Drosophila melanogaster: one gene and its partners. Changing the gene in region 1 together with any one later gene gives a genetic interaction. Each region holds a gene or a part of one and is shown on either strand. Other genes may lie near its edges.

Region 1 (5,260 bases):
AGGTGCGGGCCAAACGGCCGCGATCACCGGTCTTCTCCTCCAGGTTGCAGATGATGGTACCCTCGGGCATCTGGCTGAGGGGCATCACGTTGCCGATCTGAAGGGTGGCCTTGCGGCCGCAGTACACGAACTGGCCGGTGTGCATGCCCTCGGGGGCGATGAACAGCTCCTTGCGGATCTTGTAGCGGTAGGGGTCGCGGAAGTGGACGACGGCCAGAGGAGCGCCACGGCCGGGATCGTGGATGATGTCCTGAAACATGGAAGAAGTACGATTCGCTTAGTTACACTTCAAAAGCAGTTAAGCCAAGTGAGCTAAGTAACTTCTAGTAAGCTGGCACAGGTGCTCAAGCACGTCTCTTGAATGTGGCATGGCCAAATGCAAGTGATCTCATCCACATTAAACGGATAGGTGTAGTTGGTGATCCTAGGAGCACGTTACTCACCTTGACAACTCCGCGGATGTAGCCGGAACGCTCGGCGAAGTCCAGGGAACGCAGCTTGGCGGCTCCCTTGCGCTTCTTCACGTGCGCCTTGAACACGGAACCAGCTCCCTTACGCTGTGCACGAATAACGCGACCCATTGCTGCAAGACAAATTCACGGGATTAGTACTCGAACTCCATATTGCAAATGCGGCGGTTTCACTAAATAAGATGGCCATCTTCAATGCAACACGCTACGGAATTTCGATCTTATTCGAATATTTTGACGGAAAATTGAAATATTCCATGTTACACGGTTATAATGTTAAATTGCGCACTGTAAACAATTTCCGCAATTGAAAACACCACCAAATTTACAAAATTTAGCACGTGGCTTACCGTAAAATTAAAATTGCCCAATACGACCACTCCGGAAACGGGGCGAAAAGAAAAGAAAAGAGGAAGACATCCTAGAGGTGGGCAGGGAATAGTGTGGCTGTGTTTGGCGTCTGGCGTCGTGACTAACGTGCTGCTGGGGAAAGAGCTGTTTCTCACTGCTATTTTGGGTATTCGCGAAATTGTTAATTTGCTAATAATAATAAATAAAATAATAAAATTTATCATATTAAATCTTCAAATTCAGTTTTCGGAAGTTTTACTAATCAGTAGCTCACTTGCCCAGAAAATTTGGTTTGATTTCAATCTTCGCAAGGTCAATTTCGCTGAAATCTGCTTTACCTAATCGAAACGTTTCTAAACTGGATAATTTTAATATAAGTTAATCGATTTTATATATGTATATAATAATTCAATTAGATGTATGAATAATTCGAGTTGAGCTGGAAAGTTGTGTCGAGCACTTGCCAATTGGATGAGAAGTGAAAAAGGCGACCCAATCAGAAATAAAATAGAGAGTGAAAAGAAACCAGTGGAAATATTCCGAAGCCGAAAGATATTTTGGACTATGCTATGCGTTCCACTGGCGTACATTTTTAGACGTCTTTATTTAACACATCTAATCTTCGACCATACATATCTTATTCTTATATTCCAATTCTGATTATTATATAACTTTAATAGGAAATGACTCAACGATTTGTGTTACCCTATGAAATAAAATATTAAATATGTTAATATTTTTTATTTTCCCAGCCTCTTTTTTCTAATTGGAATTAGTAAATGTCTATAATCTAATTTATTGATTACAGTTGCAAATTTGTTAATTTGCTATTCTGAAAGAGAAGAATATACGGGCACACGAATTGGCCTTTTACGGCTCGATATGTTTGCGGTATGTGCGCAGAAATGAGAACGGTAATCGCGGGGTATTTTTCAGTTCGCGATGGAATAAGCTGCCATCGGCTAATTGGTCACACTGTTGGAATCCGTCGGGGTTTTGGCGTCGCGTAAAACGGAAAACCGTTCTGATTTTCACTGAAGTTGGGAAATTGAACTGTTCAGCTGGTTGTGCGATGCAAAGGCGATAGGCGCCCATCGCTGTGCGTGAAGAGTACGTATTCGCGGTGCGCCAGTGAAAATCGCGAGTCCTGCGCGAGAACGCAAAACGCAATCGGGAGGAAAAAGCGAGTGGCAGATTTTTTCTGTCTACCTACACAAACACATACGCAGGCTACTGCACTGGTGTGGGTGTGTGTGTGAGGCTGGTCCATCGGAGCGCCGCAAAAAAAATATTGAAATTGTGCAGTGTGTGCGAAGTAGCAGATGAATCGGCAGTGATAAATAAATGGTTTAAGGGCGAGAAAAGATTTTATAAAGTGCTGGGGAATTAAAAGAGCCGCGCCCCGTTTGCCAAACGTTAACTAACACACACAAACACTCCGTCACAAAACACACATACGCACGCAGAGCCAGAGCAGTGAGAAAGAGAGATGGAGAGAGACAGAGAGCGAGAAGAAGAGCGGAGAAGCGAAAAGAGAAAAGTTGTATGACAGCAACAAATAGTTTGTTAATTGCACGGGTTTTTTATTGTGGCATTTGTCATTTAGAGCGTATAAATCTTAAATCGCGGTAAAGTGCGTATAAATCTAAAATCGCAGTAAAGTCCTGCGGCCGCTCCTTCTCCACTCTATTTCTCTCCCCGTTGTTTTGTCCCCTCCCCCCGTTCACCGTCTTATTTGCATTTCTCCTCTCTCCACCTCTTTCTGCGTGCGAAGAATCAGCAGCAGCAATTCTCCAGATCCAGAAGAACAAAATAAAATAGCAAATCAAAATGGCGCACCAGCAGCAACAACAACTGGCTCCATCGGTCAACTGTTCACTGGACGATATCGATCTGACGGCCCTAAAAGTGAGTCAATAAGCTGCGGTTATCCATCTCGAATGGAAATGGAATACGACTAGAAATAGAACCAGCAGCAGAGCCCCCCGAAAATAGAGCCCCCACATTGCCCCCTCCCCATCAGCTATATTCATTAACAAGCCTCGCCCGATTAACGGGAAAGTGACCGCCCCGTGATTATTTTCCCAGGTGTGGTCGTTTACACTCCAATTTCCGTTCGTTATTTGTTAGTTCGATTTCACAAACTATTTACACTATCTGAAAGGTTTCACAATCGATTAGTTTCAAAAAGATGTAAAATATACCGAGATGCAACCAATACGAATTCTTTTTTTTTGATATTATGATGAATTTTTTATTTTATATTCCTGCAATTCGCAAAGAAGCCCCTTTACTCAGAACTTGGTTCCAAAAATACCCCACAATATCTTACCCAACTCGATTGGCCTTTCCAGTCGTCAAACCCTCGAAGGTTTCCCCCGCACATTTATGCAAATTGTTTAAAAGTACAACAAAAGCGAGTTCTTTTTCTTTGTGTTCTTCCTTTTTTGCACTTTGCCATGGCAACGAAAAAAGGTTTTTTTTTCTGGATTTCCGTTCTCCCCCTCGAAGCAATCACAATAATAATCGAGTTGATAACTGCACATTGACATTTCGATTTCATTGCCTGACAAAAAACCACCCAACTTGGCACCACCCACCCTGTAAGTTTTGAATGTGAGAGTGGTGTGCGCAACTTTTGACCGGCCGGTGCCACCTTCTCCGCTTTGCCAAGCTATTTTTTGTTTCGCTTCGTTTCTCAATGAATTTGTCGAGTCTTAACCCCCTTTCGGCCGCCTTAGCACCCCCCTTTAACCCCCCTGTGGCCGCACGCACTGCCGCATGCGTTTGTTGCCTTTCTCTTTCACCAAACATTCACCACTCTCAGCACTTTTGGTGGCGGAACGGAACTCACCACGCCCGCCGGCCCCACGTTGGGCGCCATCTCTTTTGCTTTGCGCACCCACCGAAAGTTCAGTTTGGCACAAGTGTGTGTGTGAGTGTCCGTTTGTTGACTCTGCCTGGATGTGGTGGGTGGTGGGGGGGGGGTCAATGTGGAGTGGGCTGGTGGTGGTGCTTGGGTCGTCGCCTCGCTGCTACGGCATGTGCGCCGCTGTGGTTGTGTGTGTGCTTCACCCACAGATGAGGCCAAAATAATAGGCTTTAAGGCGGCCTTAAAAAAGGGATGTTCCGTGAAGTTCTATAAATTAAGTTAGCACTAAAAATCTGGAGTCAAATTTAAGAGATCACAGCATTAGTTTGGGAAGAGTTTTAGTTGGCTTTCGTACGGATAATATTACTTGTTTGTTCGTATACATGAAAATATACATATACAAACAAGTGTATTTTTCGGATTAAAGGCTCATTGCCGATTGACTTATATTCACAGTTCTTTTGAGTAGAACGAGGCTCCGCAGGCACTATTATTGTAGCCCCAACTGTTAACCCGTGTGTGTTTATGAAAAATTGTTCATAGTCGATGCAGAGCGACGAAGACGAGACAAAAACGAGACAAGAATGAAAATTGTTTAGTTTACTTTATTAAAAGGCGGCAGGCAGAAGCGAGCAGAGCAACACCATGCGTGCTTTTGTATCTATGCGAGTCGCATGTATCTGAATCGCTGTGTGTGTTTGTATCTGCGCTGCAGCAGACAGCTTGAAGATGGCGATAATGTGGACTCAAATGATAATGATGATGAAAACGATGATTAAGATGGGGCACACACACAACACCGGCTGCCAAGAAAAGCGGCGACGAACCCAAAGCAAAATCAGCAAAAATGGCAGCAGGCATGAGAATCATGAATTGTGATGTGTGTCTTGTTTGAAGTGTTGTTTTTATTTTTGTTTTATTTCTGTTTGGCCTTCTCCTCTCGGTGAGGGGCGCTAAAGTGGGCGTGGACGTGGGCGGCCCCTCGCCTGCATGTCTGCCATATTCCGGTGACCTGTCTGTGCGTGGCTTTTAAAGGTCATTAAACACAATGGCCGAGAGAAGAGAGATGCGATAGCTGTGGAATGTCCCGAAATAGAAAACGACAAAAGGTCAGAGTCCTTAAAGCTAAGGTTCTTTCTCTCGAAACTGGCTCGCTTTGTTAGGCTTCCGTTCTGGTTTCTGTTCACTCGATAAGAACTCCACTCCCCTCCACTCCTTGTGTCTGATAAGATACCACAAGCTGCATTCATCAGCACAAATTTCATTAATTATTTCTGGTTTTTACGACTCCCCATTTATTTGTATTTGGTGCAGTTTCTTTTATTCTCCACTGATAAGCATTCAAACGCGGTTCGTCTTCATTTTGGTGTGGCTTCCACTTCTTTATGTGTATTTCACTCGCATGTGCACTGAAAGAAACCGATCTTCAATCAGTAATGTTTAGTATCTAGGATAAACAAAGGGCTGATCCAACAACTTGGTTCTGAAGAATTCACGAGGTGGGCTTCTTCTTTTAAGTGGCACTATACTGCGTTTTAAATTTAACTTCATTATTTTAAATCTCTTT
Region 2 (6,019 bases), on another chromosome or scaffold:
GTTCAATTCCGTGAGAAAGGGACACAAATTAGTGAGGGCAGGCAAGTGCCATCAATTAACTAGAATCCGGATCGATTATTTGCCGCTCCTACGCACATTCGCACATTGGCATGGATAACATTTAAACGAAGTAAACACTTAATGCGAATTTATGGCCGCCAAATGTCCAATTTGGAATTTAAGCGAGCTTGGCAATGAAGAATTTATGGTTTTTGGTCGCTATTGCGGTTAGAATTTTACATAGAAAATCGAACTGCAAAGTTCAATATAATTTTATGAAAGAATCGATTACCTAACAAAGGACACTTCTCAGGCTTTGATTTTGCTACACAATACAATACAATGCCTTAATTGCAATCATATATTAATATGAGTGGAACTGAGCATAAACTATGTATTTCCAAACATTTTGGCCACCATTTCAAAATTAGCACAATTTGCGCCGAGCTGCAAAAGTTTGTCAGCAGGAAAAAAAGGCAAACAAAAAGTTAATTAAAACAAAAATTACGGACAGTGGCCGGCGGTCGTTTGGTGGCGACTGTGCCGCAGCATTAGCAGTGCAGCCAAAAATGCAGCCGAAAAATCTGCGCGCCATCTAAAACAAAAATTAATTTTTGGGCCAGGGAAAGTTTTTATTTCCCTCCCATTGCTGTTGCTGTTGTTCTTGTTGTTGTTGTTGTTTGCTGGCCAGGCGAGAGTTTGCATTGTTTTGCATATTTTATACGGCGGAAGTGTATACGGCAAAGGCACTCGCCATCATGCCAACTACCCCAACCCAAAAAAAAAAAAAAAAAAGCGAAAAAAATGGTATGTGCAACACGCAAATTATGCAGGCGCATAAGACAAACTTTCTGTTTTGCGGATTCGACAACCGGCGGGATGAAAATTAATACGAAAGCCAAAAAACGGGGTTGCCCCCCCACCCACACAAACATCTAGTTCCTACGTATTTCTGAGATCCAAAACTGCATCGGCAACTGGAGCACCGCAGAGTAATTAAAAATACAGCCAATGGCCAGAGCAGAAAAACCCCGAGCAGCTTGTACTGAAGGAGATCATATCGGCCATGTTTGCAGCCCAGAAATCTGAGTCCCTTCAAAATTTGCATCTAGCATCCATCAAATAGATAAAATTGAAGAAATGTCTCAGCTTGCAGTTCTAATAAAAACTATTAAAAAAGAAAAGAAAATTAAACTAAAATGCATTAAAAAGGGTAAAAGCCAACATGACTATATTGAATTGATATTTTATTAAATGTGCTCTAAGCTCATTTCTTATTGCACTGCAGTTTTCAGTTTATAACGGTATAAAATTCTTAAGTGGCTAAGTAATAAGAAACAGACTTACTTTATTATTACTGTTTCTATATTGTTTTCTTTCGGTTCTAAGCGCTTAAAATAGCTTATATTGTCCCAGACTTTTTGAGATTCAGGCACACAGCAAATGGCTGCCGAATTGCAAACGCGATTTAAATGGGTAATGCCAGGACATGGCGATTGTTTTATAATGCAACGTCCCCACTTTCCACTTTTGCGCCTGCAAGCTTATTACAACGGTTAGCTTTATATTTACTATCCCAAGTCGTGTCCTTACTCACTAATATATCGAAGTTTACTTTCATGTGTATATGGTGTGAGCAGCAGAAGTAAGGCAAGAACGTAAAATATAGCGAAAAAAGTCATGATGTCTCACTTCACATGGAGATGTGATAAATCATATTAAAATCTTATATGCGTCAACGAGATGGCTGCATTTAAGATATTAATCAACTGTGTAATTAACTAATCAACAAAGCGCCTATTTCCAAGTCGACAAACCACAGATTTCATGCTTTAGTTATGCCTGTTTTTTGTCTTTTCGATATAATTCAAACTGGTTTCGACACTGTAGTGAAGATGCTGGAGAAAAAGCGAAATACTTTAAACAAAATCAACAAAACCCGGTATTGAGTTTGGGTTCGATTTGTTTTTTATTTTTTCCTGTCTGCCGGCAGTGGCGACAATCGAAAAAGGCAAAAACCAGCCCCCAGCTATTATTCGGATCCCCCATCACCTCCAACTCGCCCACATCCACATCGATCGATCTTGCTGACGCTGCGAGAGATCTTCTCAGTTTCTCGAGACGATCGGACGACGCACGACGCATTCCGCACTTTGGGTCTATTTTCGTGATTAATTTCGAAGAGCGGAGACGTATTCTAATAGGAACCCATGTTCCATTCTGTAACGTGAGTGCCATATAATCTGCAGAAATCAGTACGAATTCGTCCAGATACTCAACAATTTTACGCATACAGTATGAAAAGCCTTGGTGTTTTCCTACAAAAATAGGTCAAGTGCAGTGTTTGTGTAACATAGTGACCTAAAAAACGTTTAAATTCGTTTTCATGTGGATGAAAAGTGCTGAAAACTGACCGAAGAAAAACATATGCTAACAAAAAGTGCAGTTGGCGCAGTTTGAGAGCTACTGAAAGTGGCTGCCAAAACAGTTTTAGAATTACTCTGTAAGTAATTGTGGTTCATTACTTAGTTTTAGACCAACTACACGAAAAATATATAAAAATAAAAATAAATACATTTTACAACAATATTTTATATTTTAATTTAATACATAAATTAATACATAATTTAACATAATACATAATAATAATGTTAAGTCCTTTAAGACATTTGAATATTTCATTAATCGAGCAAAGTAAAAATAAACAAAATTATATCAATATTATTAAAGAATGCATGTTATTATAAATTCAATAAATAAAACACGTTACAATTAAGTTTTTACCAATCACAAGTAAACACACTTTCTACATGTAGATATGATAACATACATCGAACGCGCGTAAAATTTATGTTGGTACCTTTTTATCAACAATTGTTTGGTGAGCTTTGATTTCACATTCATATATAAGTAGATACAAATGAATAATGAACATCTTTTTTTTTAAATAATATAAATATAAATATTATTTAATAAATGAGCTCAATACTTATTATTCGATTAAGTCATTTACAATATCTTACATTGCTTCCTGTCGATGTAAAATTACATATTTCTACTTGTCTGGCAGCCCTGAAATACATATAACAGATATAATAGCTCACATTACAAAAAAATTGCTTACAAAATTTAAAAAAGCATAGAATTAGTTTGCCAAATTCTTTTACTATTCTGCTTTTAGAAATAAAAATTTATTGACTAACCTTCAAAATAATTAATTAGAAATGTATATTTTGTTCTGGTATTTTTTAGGGCGTATTAGGAATCAACGAAAATGAGTCAGTCTTGTATACCAGTGAGCGCAAAGATGTCGAAGGCAAAGAAGGTTTTGGATGAAGCCCGAGAAACTCACAATCCCGAGTTGGATTTGGCCGACAAGGGGCTGTCGTCCTTCGAGGAGTTGCCCGGACTGTGTAAGTATCAAAACCAAAGGATCTTGAAGGAATTATACGGATTTTTGCACTTCTGAGTAAACATAATGGTGGGTTACTTCCACGCAGAATGGAGCCTCGCCCAGCTGCTAAAAAAATTGTAAATTAATAATATTCTAGCGTATGTATTTATGTTGTGGTAATAATATTCATTTAAAATGAGTCTAAGCATCTTTTTAAATGGAGTCGCTTAGTTTTATTTATTGTGATGACGCCAGCAGCAAAATATGCATAAGTTTGAGTGTAGAGAACGTAAACAAACACTGTAAATACCGCAAATAAGATGTGTATACATATCTGGGAAATGTACTACAACTCCATAACTATGACTTCATTTACATAAAATTAGAATATACTACAATTATTAATCTTAAAACCATTAAATTTTTGAGAAAAAAAAAACATTGCGCATGCCTCTGCTTATATTGTTGTCCCGCTCCAACATTCGGCGTCTATACTTGTTGCCTGCAATCAGCTGTTTGCATTTAAACCCAGTGGTGAATTCACAGTGCATTGGACAATTATGAAAAACAATCTTTGATATCACGAAAAAGGAAAAATATGTATTTTAAAGAGTTTAGTATTCTTATTAATATAATTTTTTTTGCAGTCAACATGTCCAACATCACGCGCTTGACCCTGTCCCACAACAAGATCAGCGTAATCAGTCCGGGAATCGCGAACCTACTGAATCTGGAGATCCTGAACCTCTCGAACAACCAGCTGACCGAACTGCCCGTTTCGCTGTCGTCCATGCCAAAGCTACGCATCCTCAATGTGTCCATCAATCGGCTGATAAATCTTCCTCGCGGCTTTGGAGCCTTTCCGGTGCTGGAAGTGCTCGACCTGTCCTACAACAATCTCAACGAACAGGTCCTGCCTGGTAATTTCTTTGGTATGGAGACACTGCGTGCTCTGTATCTGGGCGACAATGACTTCGAGTATATACCGAAGGAGGTGGGTCAGCTGAAGAATCTGCAGATACTCGGATTGCGTGACAACGATCTTCTGGAATTGCCCCGCGAAGTTGGGGATTTGGTGCGACTGCGGGAGCTACATATTCAAAACAATAGGCTGCAGGTGCTGCCACCAGAGATCGCCCAGTTGGACCTACTGAGCAACAAGTCGGTCATGAAGATGGAGGAGAATCCCTGGGTCAATCCCATCGCCGAGCAATATCTGCTGGGCATTAGTCACGTCATCGACTACCTCAAAACGGAGACCTATAAGATGTGAGTGCACCATAGATCCATATATCCATAAATGTATATTCATCTGATCCTTTTCCTTGACAGCATCTACAACCGCCACTTGCAAGCAGGACGCAGTGGACCGCCGCCACCCAAAGCTGACAAAAGCAAGAAGGCCTCTCGAATTCGCGCATAGTGATTCTCCACCAGAAGATCCCAAGATCCCATGGAATTACAAATGTGTTCGTCTCGTTCGTTGTTAACCAAACCCGTTTTCGTATACTAATTTATAAGTACTTTTAAACTAATGCGTATTTCTGCAATGTGCCTTGACCCTTAGTTTCACTAATGAAAATAAAACAAAATAATAGATGCATATATGTATTCCTGCTGGTTTAATTTCGGATCCTATGCGCAAAAGAATCGTTAAATAAAGACACGCTTGTATATTTTATAAAATAGTAGGTTTTTCTTGTTTTTATTATCTTTTCTCATATTCATTCTTCTTTTTTAAGAAATTTGTTCATAATCATAATTAATTAGTTTACTTAAAGTCAATTAATTAATTCTTTATTTATTTTAATTAAATTAATAGTTAAATGTTTTTTGTTTTTGTTCTTTGTTTTCTATGTTTGAGAAAAACTAAAAGCATAGTTCTGCTTTGTTCGCTTTGAGTTTGTTTCGTTTCTTTGCATTTTTTCACTTGTCAATTTGAATTGAATACATTTTTTTTTTATCAATTTATGTTATTTAATTATTTTGTAAACGTATTTCGCCTTCACTGTATCTGCAATTCAAATTTAATTTATTCCTTAAAGTATATTTTAGTATTTATATTTATATATTTTTTATAGAGTTTATTTACAAGAGTTAAAGATGTTCTTTTACGAAAAGTCTGGCAGAAAAACAAACAAAAATGTAAATTCATTTATTCAGTAAATTTCTCCAAAATGATAGCACGGAAACGTCTTGTAAATTCGAATTGAGATAATTCCATAGCTATGCGTCACGATATACAAGTTGGATGTGCGAATGGAAACGAAGACAAGGGTTTCAAAAATAATATCATATAGCTTTCAAGCTATAAATGTCTTTTCTTGGAGTAGTACATCAGTCGGGACTCCGTGAGTAGTTGCACGATTAGTTCTTGAGCATGCAAATACGAAACACAGACAAAAACAAAAAACATAAACTAGTAACCTATGAGACTACAACAAAGCAAATTACAAGCACTCGATAGTATCATATATGCATGATCTATGCACTTTAAGATACTTACATAAAAATAGATTTATATGTTGGCAGATATACACGTATATGATAGATAACATTAAACATAATCATCATTGGCAGTTTTGCTACCAGATTGCTAAAACATAAAGCTTTAAACCTAATACT
Region 3 (5,143 bases), on another chromosome or scaffold:
GTTCCATCATATAAAACAAGTGCATATGGCACGTTAAATGCAAGTCGAAAATTGATTTTTTAAAGTGTGTATGAAATGAGGCCCAGCTGCAATCAGCGGGCCAACTTGTTGTAAACAAATTGAAGTGGCACTCAGTGATCCCCTGCTCCGCCGCTCTTCTTCTTGTGTTGGCCATTACCAATTGCACTCGGGTTCAACCCTTACCCTCGACCATTCCCCATACCCAATTCCCTGGGGATCGAATTGGATGGGATTGTATGGACGGAGTGGTATAGGATGGTATGGCATGGGGACGTGCCTTCATTAGGCCATGCAGAGCGCGTAGGCAGAATGTGTAAACACACATCGATTTCCATTCCGAATGCGTCTCGTGTGCTATGCGTAATTTTAATTGATTTCATTTACGCATTTTTGACTAATGTTCACACGCCGATGCATCGGACTGGCGGGGGGTGCAGCTCATTTAGCATGGACTCGGCGCGTTGATGGACAGAATCCAACTCCAAATGGCTGCATCGGGGAATTTATTTTTGGCCCTATCGTCCCACTCTCGCATCCGCCGTTCGCCTGGTTTTCCCCACCCAGAAAAAAAAAAACCCAAAATCTGTAACATAAATTTCACTTTGATCTATTTTTGAGTGGCCAATGCAAGTTTGCTAAATTCTGTTCAGCAGAAGGAATATTTAAAATTTTTAATTGCTACTAGAGTGCGCGCACTCAGCGGCGACGACCCAGTTTCAAAACATCTTTGCTGGCCAGAATCTCGACTGGGTTAGGGGATTTCTAATGGTGGTGAAAAGGAGGGAGCACTAATCTCTAGATAGCATTTTTATGTTACGAAATATACAGTTTTACTCTAATTAATGTGTGTGACACATACTATTTTTAGCCATCTTCATGCATAAGCATCTTATAAAACAGCAAAAACATGGTATTACATGTAGGAAATGTGATTCACTTTCGCTAAACACAACTTTAAACGCACCCCCACTTTGCTAATTGCCCATTTTGGCTATCGTAACTCCTATTTTACTTCACTTTTGATTGCCTTGGGGTTTTCTTCCCCATTCTGCCATCAATCTCCAAGTTGACATCCCAACCACGAGCGATTTGGAAAGAAACGTGTGACTTACCGAACGATAAACTGAAAGTAAACCTCCAAGTTGCCTGGGCCATCAATCAATCAGTCACTTAATATGAATATGAAAATATGAACCCGAACCCACAACAAATGCAATGTGGGTTTATCTGGCGTACATTCGCCATTCATTATTCATTGTGTGTTTTTCCTCTCGCCAGCCAAGTTTTCTTATCTCAGGCAACAATGTTGGCCGCGTTTTTCTTTGGGCCACTGTAAGTGCAACTTGAAAGGCGATTTTTAGGCCATTTTTGCAGTAAATGTAGCAGTACTTGAAGCATTTTGTAGTTGGACAAGGTTCAATGAGCAGGCAAACCGCTGAAAAGCCCAGTTACCCAGACCACACCCAATTGATTTTCACTCACTGACCATCTGAGAGATGCGTTTATGACACCAATCGACTTGAAATTTAAACAAGCAATATTTTAGATACATAAGCATGCCTTGACTTTACAATCAGTTGTTTTATATATTTTGCTTGTAACACACTTTTGATAACATGAAGAAAATTTACTGTGTGAAAAATTGTGAAAAACTTATTTAATGTATGGTTCGTATAAGGTGCCGTCCTAGTGCTTCTTGCGACCCTGGCAGAGAGATTGATGCGCCTTCAGCTGGTGGCCCTTGAACTCCAGGCCACATCTGGGACAGCCGACGGTCTGTTTGAAGAGATTGCACTAGAGGCGCTGACGCGGAGTAAGTTCGTCCTCGCTGGACAGCAGAGTAGTCGAGTTGCTGTTCAGCTCTGTGTAACCGGAGCTGCGAAGAATTCGCTTTGATGAATTTGATTTCGATTTGGTGCAGCGTGATGTGGAAGATCCCGAGGAGGAGAAACGGGTGTCCAAGTCCTTTGAAGTAAACGATGGCGGTTCCAAGCACACCATAATGGTACCGCGCTTCATTTTCTCAAAGCAAATGGGACAAGATACGATGTCGTTGTTGAGCAAGTGGGCTGCACGGTGTTCTTACGCTGCAAGTCTTTCATCAGGATGTCTTCTCCAAAAACATCGTCAATAATGGATTGATCAGCTAGTTCCGTGGCGGCTGTTAAACTGTCATTTGCCGGCCGCCTCATAATCGATTGAAAGGGTATTGACCTCGCACAAGGTCAATTCATCCTCCATTATCTAGCGCTTGATGTTCTGCGTGCGCTCCTGACTGCTCATGGTGTTCCTGCAAGCTGGCATCTTTAGCTCATCCTTTGACTGCGCTGCTTCTGTTCATCAATTTTCTTCATTTTATGTTATTAAAAAATATGTTACTATATGGAAGTGTTTGAATTTACATTAGAATAGCCTACTATGTTTTCGACCTAGTGTCATAGAGGCCTAACATTTTTGCCATTTGGCTGGGAGCCATTCAATTCGTTTGCCATGCAGTCGGCATTTGCTTTTATTTCTACGTAATTGCGAATCTTTTGAAGCGATGCGAACTATATCATCGCAGTACATTTTCCTACCCGTATGCATATTGATTGATAGCCAATTTGCACGTGCTCCACTTTGTGCCTGGGTTTTGCTTATTGTCGCCATGTTCTGCCCATACGAAATCAGTTCCCCTGGTCGCAGTTCTTTGGCTGCACCCACATGGATTGTCACGTTTGTGTTTTGTTTTGCTTTTGAGTTCTTGGAAATGTGTCGAACACAAGAGCCGCGAGTTTTCCACCCAGCAATTTGCAATCTTTGATAGATGGCTTATGTAACTGCCAGAGAGTGTAAGGCACAACACAACACAACACCAAAGTGGCGAAAATATTAGACGCGTCGGGGGAATTACGTCGTTTGGTCTGCGGGTTTCGAGTCGACAAGTGCAAGGCACTCAATCAATTAGCGATAGTCGATAGCCATAGACATGGGCTTTATCAATGCTTCGGTTAACTTCGTGGTTGCACTGGAAAATATTCGAAACTAAGAGGAGTTAGAAAGTCAAATTTTAGCAAGGCACTTTCAGCTAACAAATATTATATTGCTTCTTAAGTGTTGCAAAACTAAAAAATATCGCAAACCCCCTATCGATATCATTGAACTTTTTTTTTATTAATAATGTTTTTATTACTGTGTATAGCGGTTTCCCATAATTTACACCACTCATGTTACGCTAAAGTTTTATTGAGTTCCATTAATTTACGACTTTCTATGGTCGTAATTAAGATTATCCTTTGCTCGCGCTCCGCAATTGCCGCCGATTTTCCATGAATGGCAGCTTTTTATCGGACCTGCACTCGCATAATTCATTTTATCATTTTGACAGATTCGGAATGGAATAGCGACTTTCCTCGCCCACCCAACACGCGTACGAGATTTCAATTGCCCGTCGAGTGGCACACATATATTATACCAGCTCTCGAAATGAGACGCATCATAAATAATAACTAATGTTTTGATAAGACCCCAATGAGCGCCAACCACTTTTTCTGTTTATCAAATTACGTATGAAGTTTGCTCATTAATTTTGGCAAAGTGAGTGTAGGGGAAACATGGGTAGTGTAGCACACAGAAACCCCTGCAGGAGGCCTAACCCCTTTCGCTGAGATTGGGTCTGAGTCGCTTCCGCTGATTTGCACTGAAAGTTGCACAGTGGGGTTTTTGCACCTCGGTTTTGTATCTCGAGAAAGGGGGATTTCTTGGTCTTCAAGTCGCGCTCATTGCGTGGGCTTTGAGCCGTCGAGGAACGTCATCCTCCAAGTCTGTGGCGTGCAGACGACAGAACTAGACGTAATCTCGGCGAGCTGTCAAACAGTATCTTAAAGATGCCTCTCCGACTACTTGGCTGGCAACTGGTTCTGAACGCAGCCGTCTGCGGAGAGGCACTAAATTCTGCGGCCTTTTGACCAAGTTTATGACACACGTTTAGCTGTCTAGTTGGCCCACGCTCATCCGCTTTCAGCAGGAAGAGAGTTGAAGTTGCCCATTCTCCGTTGGTGCGACTCCCCTTTTCCTCTCCATCGCCCCTATGTGTTTCTATTTTCAATTAAGATCTCGTATTTCAGGCGCCCGACAAACGGGCAATTGTTGTTGTTAAATTATTAATTGACATTTGCCTGGCGCCACAGAAGAGCAACTCAAGTGCCAAGACTCCCACCCGCTCTCCCTTTTTTTGTTTACAAATTAGTTACACAGTTTTTCAATTTACTTATATTTCGTATTGCCCGTTTTTCTGTTTGCCCCGTAGGTGAATTCAGTGCGAATGTTCAGCCAGACGTCGAAGCTATGGCCGCCGCCGCTTTGAGTGGCATGGAAATGGGATCTGGACCAGGATCAGAGGGATATGAGGATGCCGACAACGAGAAAAGCAAGACCGTGGAAAATGGTGAGTCTACCATCTTAATAAAATGATTTAAAAAAGCGTGTTATAAATCAGCATCGAATATTTTGCATATCTTATCTTATTTTATCTTATATATAATATTAGTTCGGATTAATATAACTTATGATCATAACACTCGGATGTATAGATCAACAGCAAGTTTATATTTTGAATTTGGCGACCTAAGTTCAACATCCTCGATAGTATAGTGGTTAGTATCCCCGCCTGTCACGCGGGAGACCGGGGTTCAATTCCCCGTCGGGGAGATGTGTAAATAATTTTTTTTTTTTGGTTCGATATTTAATTTATGTTGTTACTTTTTAATTTTCGAAATTTATATATTATTTAACAGTTAAATTTAATAATTGCCTGGGTACGGAAGAATTTAGTTTGTTAAACAAAACAATACATCTGTTTCAACATATGAAAGAAGTGCTACATAAAAGCTAACAAAAATAAAAGCTTCAAAAATGTATAAAATTATTGTTATTGTTATTAACTGGAAAAATATATTGTGAAAAAATGCTCTCGCATCTCCCCGACGGGGAATTGAACACCGGTCTCCCGCGTGACAGGCGGGGATACTAACCACTATACTATCGAGGACGGTGAACGACACTCGCCAAATGTGGCATACGATTCTCGTTAGACTTCGGTTGGATTCCATCAGTGGAAGACCTTCCCTCCTTTGGCATTAAG
Region 4 (7,476 bases), on another chromosome or scaffold:
CTTTGACGATTTTCTGGACCGCCCGCTTTAAGCCAACCGGCACCACCTGCACGGAGTAGTGCCGCATCTCGACCAGCTTCGTGTCCGGATTGTAGGAGAACAGGACGCAGCGACGAATGGTGCCGATATTAACCGTGGCCAAGTTAATTGAGGGGAACATGTTTTGGAACGTGGTGGCCATCAGCTTAAGGTGCTTGCCATCGCCACTGAAGTTGTTCATGATGACGAGCGGAGCGTGCTTGAAGTGATCGTTGTCAATCATCTGCTTTTTGCTTAGCGAGATCACATCTCTGGCCAGGGTGAACTGGTGAACCTGACAGAGAATAACTTCGCGGTAAAATATCCAGTATAAACTAAGCGATGAAACAAACAAACCTTGAAAGTCAGGGAAGGACCGCGCGGCAAGCGGACCACTTTGAAGGACAGCTGCGTGGAGGCCTTGTTGAAGATGCCCATGTGCGAGACGTGGAAGAAGCTGCTCAGGCTGACAAAGTCCTTGATGCGGTTCATCCGCTTCTCGCGCAGATTGCTGGCCGTAAAGGGCTCCATAATGCGGCGGAAGTCCAGGGTGAGGTCCGTGATGTACGGACAGGCGAGGCCGCGATGGATGACGAAGGAGTGCGGCGCCTCCACGATCTCGCTCGGCTCGCTGGCCTTGAAGGCCGCCGTGCGCGTCTTCGGATGCACTTTCTTCTTACCGCCCATGTTTCAATGTTTTTGTTCACTTTTCTCCCGCACGTGTATGGATCAGTGTGGCTGCTCGCGCGGAAAATACCAAACACCCACTCCGACGTCTGCCTTTGGTCACTCTAATCCCATTTTAAATTTCGATTTTCCGCCCAATTGAAAGCACTTCTGTTTTATTTAAATTATATTTATTTAATCACACTTAACATAGCAAACACAAATGATGTTATTTCGTTTCATTTATGCATTTAAAGTTTTACAACTGTTTTTGTTTGATTTCTCTTTATCAGCTAGTTTTACCAAGTGGCCAATCGTTTAAAATGTTGCGAGAAACCGAAGAAGAAAATCCGAGCTGCAGTGCTGTGGTAATGAATTTGCGTTTAAGTCGAAGAATTTCCGGTTGTTTGTTGTTGTTCTGCTCGCGAAATTACAACTATATATTTATGTTGCGAAAAATTAATAATATTAATATTTTAATATTAGCATATATGTATATTTATATAAATTATAGTTCTACAGCTTAAACTGAATTTGGAGTGTTTAGTTTTGCTTGCTTTCTTTCCGCGGCGGTCGATTTATGCGATACTCATGGATCTGTATATATATAAAACTTCAGTTTAAACCGCAGTTAACTACAGCCGGATGTTGTTGCTTTCGATTCTTTTGCTGCTGCTGCTGCTTCTGATGATGGTGGTGGTGTTGGTGGTGGAGAGTGGCGGCTCAGATTTGAATTATCAATTTATGCGCACATGACAAACTGTGGCTGACAAACGCATAGACATCTTGTGCGGTCCATCGGGTGTACGCTGCTCCTGATCTTGGTGTTGCAGTTCTGGCCGCTGCTGCTCCTCTTGTAGTCGTAGTTGTAATTGCTGTTGCTTCTGTTTATGTTGCTGTTCTGGCGGTTGCGGGGAATAGCGAAAATTGCTTGGGGCGGTCACTGACAGCACTGTTTGCGCACATCGGCGGTGACAGTCGGCTTTACGTCGATGGGCTCCACGTTCGACGGGCGGATGACGTCGCCTTCCGGCGGATCTCTGATCTGTTTCTGCGACACAATGCGATAGATCTCTGAAACGGGATTACGAGACATCATTAGTCGTGCTTCGTTATCATTAATCTATTGACTTTCAATGAAGCGTTTAATCTACAGTATTTAAATATTCTTAAACGATCGATAATTTGAAAGCAGACTAGCTAAAATATCCTGAACGACCCACCTGTGAGTATGTTCTGGAATGCCGTTTCAACGTTCGTTGAGTCGAGGGCCGAGGTTTCTATGAAACTCAAGCCGTTGCGCTCGGCAAACAGCTTCGCCTCGTCCGTGGGCACGGAGCGCAAGTGCCGCAAGTCGGACTTGTTGCCCACCAGCATGATGACGATGTTCTGGTCGGCATGGTCGCGCAATTCCCGCAGCCACCGCTCCACGTTCTCGTAGGTCAGATGCTTGGCAATGTCATAGACGAGCAGGGCCCCCACGGCACCGCGGTAGTAGGCAGAGGTGATGGCGCGATAACGCTCCTGGCCGGCCGTATCCCAGATTTGCGCTTTAATTGTTTTGCCATCGACCTGCGTTGGATGCACAAGAAGGATGAAACAAAGGACAGCATTAGAATGGTGCCAGTAATTGGCAATTTCGCCACGAAATGCCTGCGGCGCATTCGCTTTGAAAATTAATATACAAGCACTGGCATTCAGTATTCACACATAACCAACATAAATTAGAGCTTATGGATAAGCTTTTAACTCTAGTAAGAGAACCCAATTTTTGAAATTTCTTACACTAGTTAGAAAAAACGCAAGTAGCGTAAGTTATATTCATTGAACCCATTTGATATACTAAATATTAAGATGACCTACTAAGCTACTTCGAAAAGATGGCACAAAGTATTGTTTAACACAAATCCTTATACATACGTAATATATAATTGTTATTGACCACATAAATTTATTATTTCAGCACAAGTGACAACTATGATGTCAACATTTTGGCTAATCCCGTAGGATGGCTTTTGAAATTATGCAAGAAAGCCAATTGGCAATCCATTATTTAGTGAAATTCTCGACACTTACTCAAATTGAACAAACTTTTCCCCCCAATTTTCCGATAGACGCCTCAACTACGTGTCCTCCCACCGAAACGCACACGCAAGTTCACCCGTGACTTCCCCCACTGTGGGTGCGGTGCGGTAGATGTGTGGGGGTGGAGCTCCATGGGCCACTCCACCCTCGAATTCTTGGCCAGCGTACTCACCTCTATGCTGCGCGTTGCAAACTCAACGCCAATCGTCGACTTGGACTCCAAGTTGAATTCATTGCGCGTGAAACGTGAGAGCAAATTACTTTTGCCAACACCGGAGTCACCGATAAGGACAACTGCAAAGGATTAGAGGGAATTAGTGACATCGACATTGGCATTGGATAATCGAAGACCCCCAGTTGCATAATTTATGTGGGTGTGTGGTGTGGCGTGGCGTGGCATGGCCCCTGTCTTGTGTTTTACGGCCGGACAGAATGGTCGCTGGTGGCCCGGCTAGGTCATGTCCTCCTTTCGCCGCTGGCACGGCGCACCAAGGTCAGCGAGTACATAAAACCGCCATGCTCGGGGGATTTCAGGCCATGGAAAGAAATGTTTTATGATTGGGCCAGTCGACGTTAGGGAGTTCGTGTTATTGTGCTTCATTGCCGATAGCAAACATTTCTTGGATAATTGAGTGGCGGATATTTGAGGGAGCAAACAAGCATCCCAAGTTGATATGCTACCCGATAAAAACTATCCACTGACCTTTTTACGACTCCATTTCTTTTTGATAAACTTTCTTATGTGCGGCCAGAGTTGTTGGCTATAATATATATTAACTGATATCTAGACACTGTGTTTACTGACTGTCTGTCTATTAGTTTCCATTTTTGACACCCTTTTCGGACATTGTTGATTCAGCATGTTTGCTAATCCATTCAGAAAACAACAACTATAACTCATCAAACACCTTTTCGCTCTATCGCTATGGTCATCGCTGCACGGAGAAAATTCAAATAGTAAAATGGTATCATATGAACACTGATTCTTGAGTTCGAAGTTTCGATTGCAATGCCATTAAGATAGGAACTAAATATTTGAAACGACTTTTGAGCTAAGTCCAAGTTTTTGACTTAATTTAGATAGCTAAATTAGAGGGTATAGGGTTTTCTTTCAGTGTGGACAGCTGGGAGCAGCGTGGTTACAGTTATCAGCGAGAGAGCTGAGTCACTTTGTTTTCTACTCTCTTTCTCAGCGCTAATAACGATCTTTAAAGAGAAATTGCACTTAGTTAAGCGGATGCGATGAGAAATTAAAAGGGGAGGAGTGGTAATCGACGGTCATTACTTAGTAGTGGGATTGGCTCGAATAACCCGAAACGGCCCATTTTCAGTTATGTGATTATGCGCTTATCGGTGAGTGGAATTCTTCAGCAGTTATTGGCTGTGAGTCATGTCCGTTTAATATTGTTTCATGTGTGAAATTTGAGGCCTCATCATGCATACCGCACACTGACGCATTATTATGATGACTTTTTTTTTAACTTTTTGTATACTTGACCCAAAAAATACGGCAGATTAAGTTTTAAATATTTTTTTAATGACATTCAACAGTTGCTCAGCTGTGATAGCTAGCAGAGATTTCCAAGCGCAATTGGAATTTATGGCGTAGTAGCAAACGAAGGGAACAAAGAAGAGCTGAGAATTTGTGACCTCTGTTCATACATATCTACACATAAACGGGGGAAGATGCGGGATAAAAGTCTTGTTTTCTACCTGCAAATACATCATTTTGCTCTACTGTGCTTCAAACTTTCAATCGAGAGCGGGTGAAAAAGAGAGCGCGCGTGAGAGAGAGCTACTAAACGAAGTTACAAGAAACCATTGCAAAAGCCAGCTGTACAGAAATCATAATACCCACACTCTCGCTCTATTTACTGGATATCTAATCACTTTAGCATTTCGAGTGGGTGGGCAAGCCTTAAACCTACTTTACAGAGCGAGCGATTATAAATACGATCTGCTTGGCTTTTGTATGCAACGTGGCGAGACCAACGGCACTGTAATGACAAAACAAGCAGTTAACGGCAAAGTACGCGTACTCCAGTCCGAAAGAGTACCCCAAAGAGATGGAGATAGGCAGAGTGAGAGCGGGAGAGCCACCAAAGGGCATCCAACTGCAGCAGTAGCAACAACAACAAACTCGGGGGGCGTACTTCTTATTTTGGGAATTAATGACACTCACGCAAACAAACACACCACATACCATCACATGAACTTTGGGCTCTTCGAGTGCACTTTTTGTTATTCTCCAATTAGTTTCAATTAGTGCTATTGAACCACTGTCTCTCACGGCAGGGAGAGGAGAGCCTGGAAGTGCGGCTCCTCCCCTCCTGATCAACCTTCCGCGATCTTCGACCAGCGGCTAGTATCATGTTTATAATTACCTTTGAACAGATAATCGTACTCGTCTTCTCTTGCACCCATTTTGCTCAATTTGTTTTGCTATCGCTCGCTCGGTTCGATATCCTTTGGAAATCCAGTTCCGTCCTTTTTGTTTTGTGTGTGCGGGTGCTAAACGAAATCCAATAATCCCTGCGCGCCGCCGATTTCTTTAATGCGTTTGTCGTCGGCTCACACACTTTACACTTTTATTTGCAGTTGTAGTTGTAAAGAAAGAGAAAAGTGTATATATCAGTATTTAAGTGGCGAAATCGGTTGCTCTTCCAGCTCGGATGCGTTCGAAAATGCTGGCAGGACTTTTCCGGCAATTGGAGCAGTATTAATTGGAGATTTGCAGCTGCTTGCAGCGCATTTATTTGCAATTTTCTCTTACACGAAAACTTAGTCACTCCCAATAACGTCACGTTATATTTCCAACGAGACTAGAGATGTTGAAAAATATCGGTACATCGACATTATTTCGGCGATACTTATCGATTTTCTTAATGGCGATGTAAGGCGATAGTACAATGTCACTTCTATTTTTGTTTATATGAACATTGTTTTATACTCAAAAGCTTTAGAATTAGAATTAAATTTTTTCATAATTAAAACACATTAGGTCTAGAAAATAAATCTAATGTTTGTTTCCTATTTAAAAAACTTATTTGTTTTATTTTAAAACACCAACATACTTATATCATTATCGATGTTTTCACATCGACTTGCATCACTAAATTAACGAGATGGATGTTTTAGAGTTACCAGACGGTACGACGAATTATCATGAACTGCTCTCGTTTCATCCCGACAAGCCTATCGTATTTTAAAAAAGCTGAACACATTTTCTAGGGATTATCCCTAGCCCATTTAACTTATTTCCAACTCAAAATGTCTTGAATACTTAAAACGTTCCAACCTAAACAGAATCGTTCTCCCAGTAGCAGTAACTGTTTCTAATATTATCTTATTAAAAAAATTAATTAAATAGAAAACATTTCGATCCCAAGTAAAAACCCCCTGCTTACAAATCAGAGTAAAAATGTGTTTATTTTAATATAAAATACTTGTAAAAAACGATAAATTAAGTATAATGTGCAGCTAATACTTCCGTTGATCTCTAGTGAGTTTAAAAACTCTATTCCTATTGCACTTAAATGCGAGCGCGTTGCAAGGCCATGGCTGGATAAATGAGCAGAAGTCCGCCGGCTATATAGGTGATCCTGGAGCCAACGCACCAGAAGGCTATTAAGGATTAAAGAGTTTAGAAAAGGTATAATCCTAAGACAGCTGAGGAGCTCACCAATGCATCCCACCACGGGGCCCAGAGCTCGAGCCAAAGCTCCCAGTGAGCGGAATATGCCCAGTACTGAACCCTTCTGGTCATCGTTTCCGTATTTGGATACGAGGGTGGTCAGACAGGTGACAGCGAAGGCTGTGGAGATTGCGAACAGGGTCATGCCGGCGTACAGCATCCGACTGCCCTCGGCTAGGCCGACTACTACGAAGGCGGGTACAATCAGGTACAAACTGAAGATGGCATAGCCTTTGATCTTCGCCTCGGGCAGCCGTCGGACCACCGATCCCTGCAGCAAAGTCATGATTACACCTAGAAAAAGACACAAATTTGATAGGGAATATTGTAGATTATCAACTTGCTCCATACCCGTTGTCAAAAACATCTTCGCCTGATCCATCGAAGTGTAACCGAATTTGTGGTACATCAGAAATGTGACGGTGAACTCCAAGCCGGAATACAGAAAGAGATACAAGAAGTATACCAGGCCAATGGATCGCAGTGCCGCAATGTCTTTCTTAGGCACATTTTTGATGGCAGCAAATCTGTCAGTGGGAGAATTCTTTTGAAATATGATTGTAAAATCCAGACATAATCATTGGTAATAATCTTCTAGCTAACTGGACTCAATTCCCTGTAACTACAATTAATCAAAAGCAATCTAGAATTTACTAACTGATAAGGCAATCAAACAAACGTGTCCGAGAACCCGGCATGATAATAGTGTCTATCAAACCAGTCAGGCAAGTCCGGGTGGCTTGCAGTTCTCACCGTATGACGATTTCGATTTGATCACACGACAGGTTTTCGAGACATGCTAATTAAAACATTGAATTACCTAAATATGGCCGAAAAATTGAGCAACTGCAGGCCATAAGACAGTGCAGATGATATCTCCTTAACACGTTTCTCCTGCGAAAAGGTCAAACAATTAATGGTGTTGGGAATATATTTAATTTAGCCAACCGTACGCACCTTGGGCAACGTTTCCCGCAGACAGCAGGCCAGGACCACAAGATCTCCAACTGCCA

The links.
Region 2: of msn (region 1) and ics, changing one suppresses a phenotype caused by changing the other (phenotypic suppression), as found in Drosophila melanogaster (one study listed by BioGRID).
Region 3: of msn (region 1) and tkv, changing one suppresses a phenotype caused by changing the other (phenotypic suppression), as found in Drosophila melanogaster (one study listed by BioGRID).
Region 4: of msn (region 1) and Rab11, changing one suppresses a phenotype caused by changing the other (phenotypic suppression), as found in Drosophila melanogaster (one study listed by BioGRID).

What each region holds. Positions count from the first base shown.
Region 1 is NT_037436.4:2,583,074-2,588,333, reverse strand, and holds the start of msn (misshapen), read left to right. Parts: upstream 1-1,793; 5' UTR 1,794-1,931; exon of another isoform or gene 1,932-2,068; intron 2,069-2,079; exon of another isoform or gene 2,080-2,297; intron 2,298-2,595; 5' UTR 2,596-2,651; coding exon 2,652-2,729; intron 2,730-5,260. Other genes in the region: RpL8 (ribosomal protein L8), read right to left, coding at 1-250, 444-581.
Region 2 is NT_033779.5:13,638,504-13,644,522, reverse strand, and holds ics (icarus), read left to right. Parts: upstream 1-1,920; 5' UTR 1,921-2,503; intron 2,504-3,250; exon of another isoform or gene 3,251-3,252; 5' UTR 3,253-3,274; coding exon 3,275-3,413; intron 3,414-4,041; coding exon 4,042-4,663; intron 4,664-4,726; coding exon 4,727-4,817; 3' UTR 4,818-5,076; downstream 5,077-6,019.
Region 3 is NT_033779.5:5,240,673-5,245,815, reverse strand, and holds the start of tkv (thickveins), read left to right. Parts: upstream 1-1,676; 5' UTR 1,677-1,740; coding exon 1,741-1,834; exon of another isoform or gene 1,835-3,117; intron 3,118-3,195; exon of another isoform or gene 3,196-3,597; intron 3,598-4,309; coding exon 4,310-4,447; intron 4,448-4,638; exon of another isoform or gene 4,639-4,710; intron 4,711-4,978; exon of another isoform or gene 4,979-5,050; intron 5,051-5,143.
Region 4 is NT_033777.3:21,109,533-21,117,008, reverse strand, and holds Rab11 (Rab11), read right to left. Parts: upstream 5,602-7,476; 5' UTR 5,194-5,601; coding exon 5,154-5,193; intron 3,064-5,153; coding exon 2,942-3,063; intron 2,257-2,941; coding exon 1,908-2,256; intron 1,759-1,907; coding exon 1,625-1,758; 3' UTR 863-1,624; downstream 1-862. Other genes in the region: ppan (peter pan), read right to left, coding at 1-313, 376-705; rtet (tetracycline resistance), read right to left, coding at 6,302-6,393, 6,452-6,757, 6,815-6,990, 7,284-7,357, 7,421-7,476.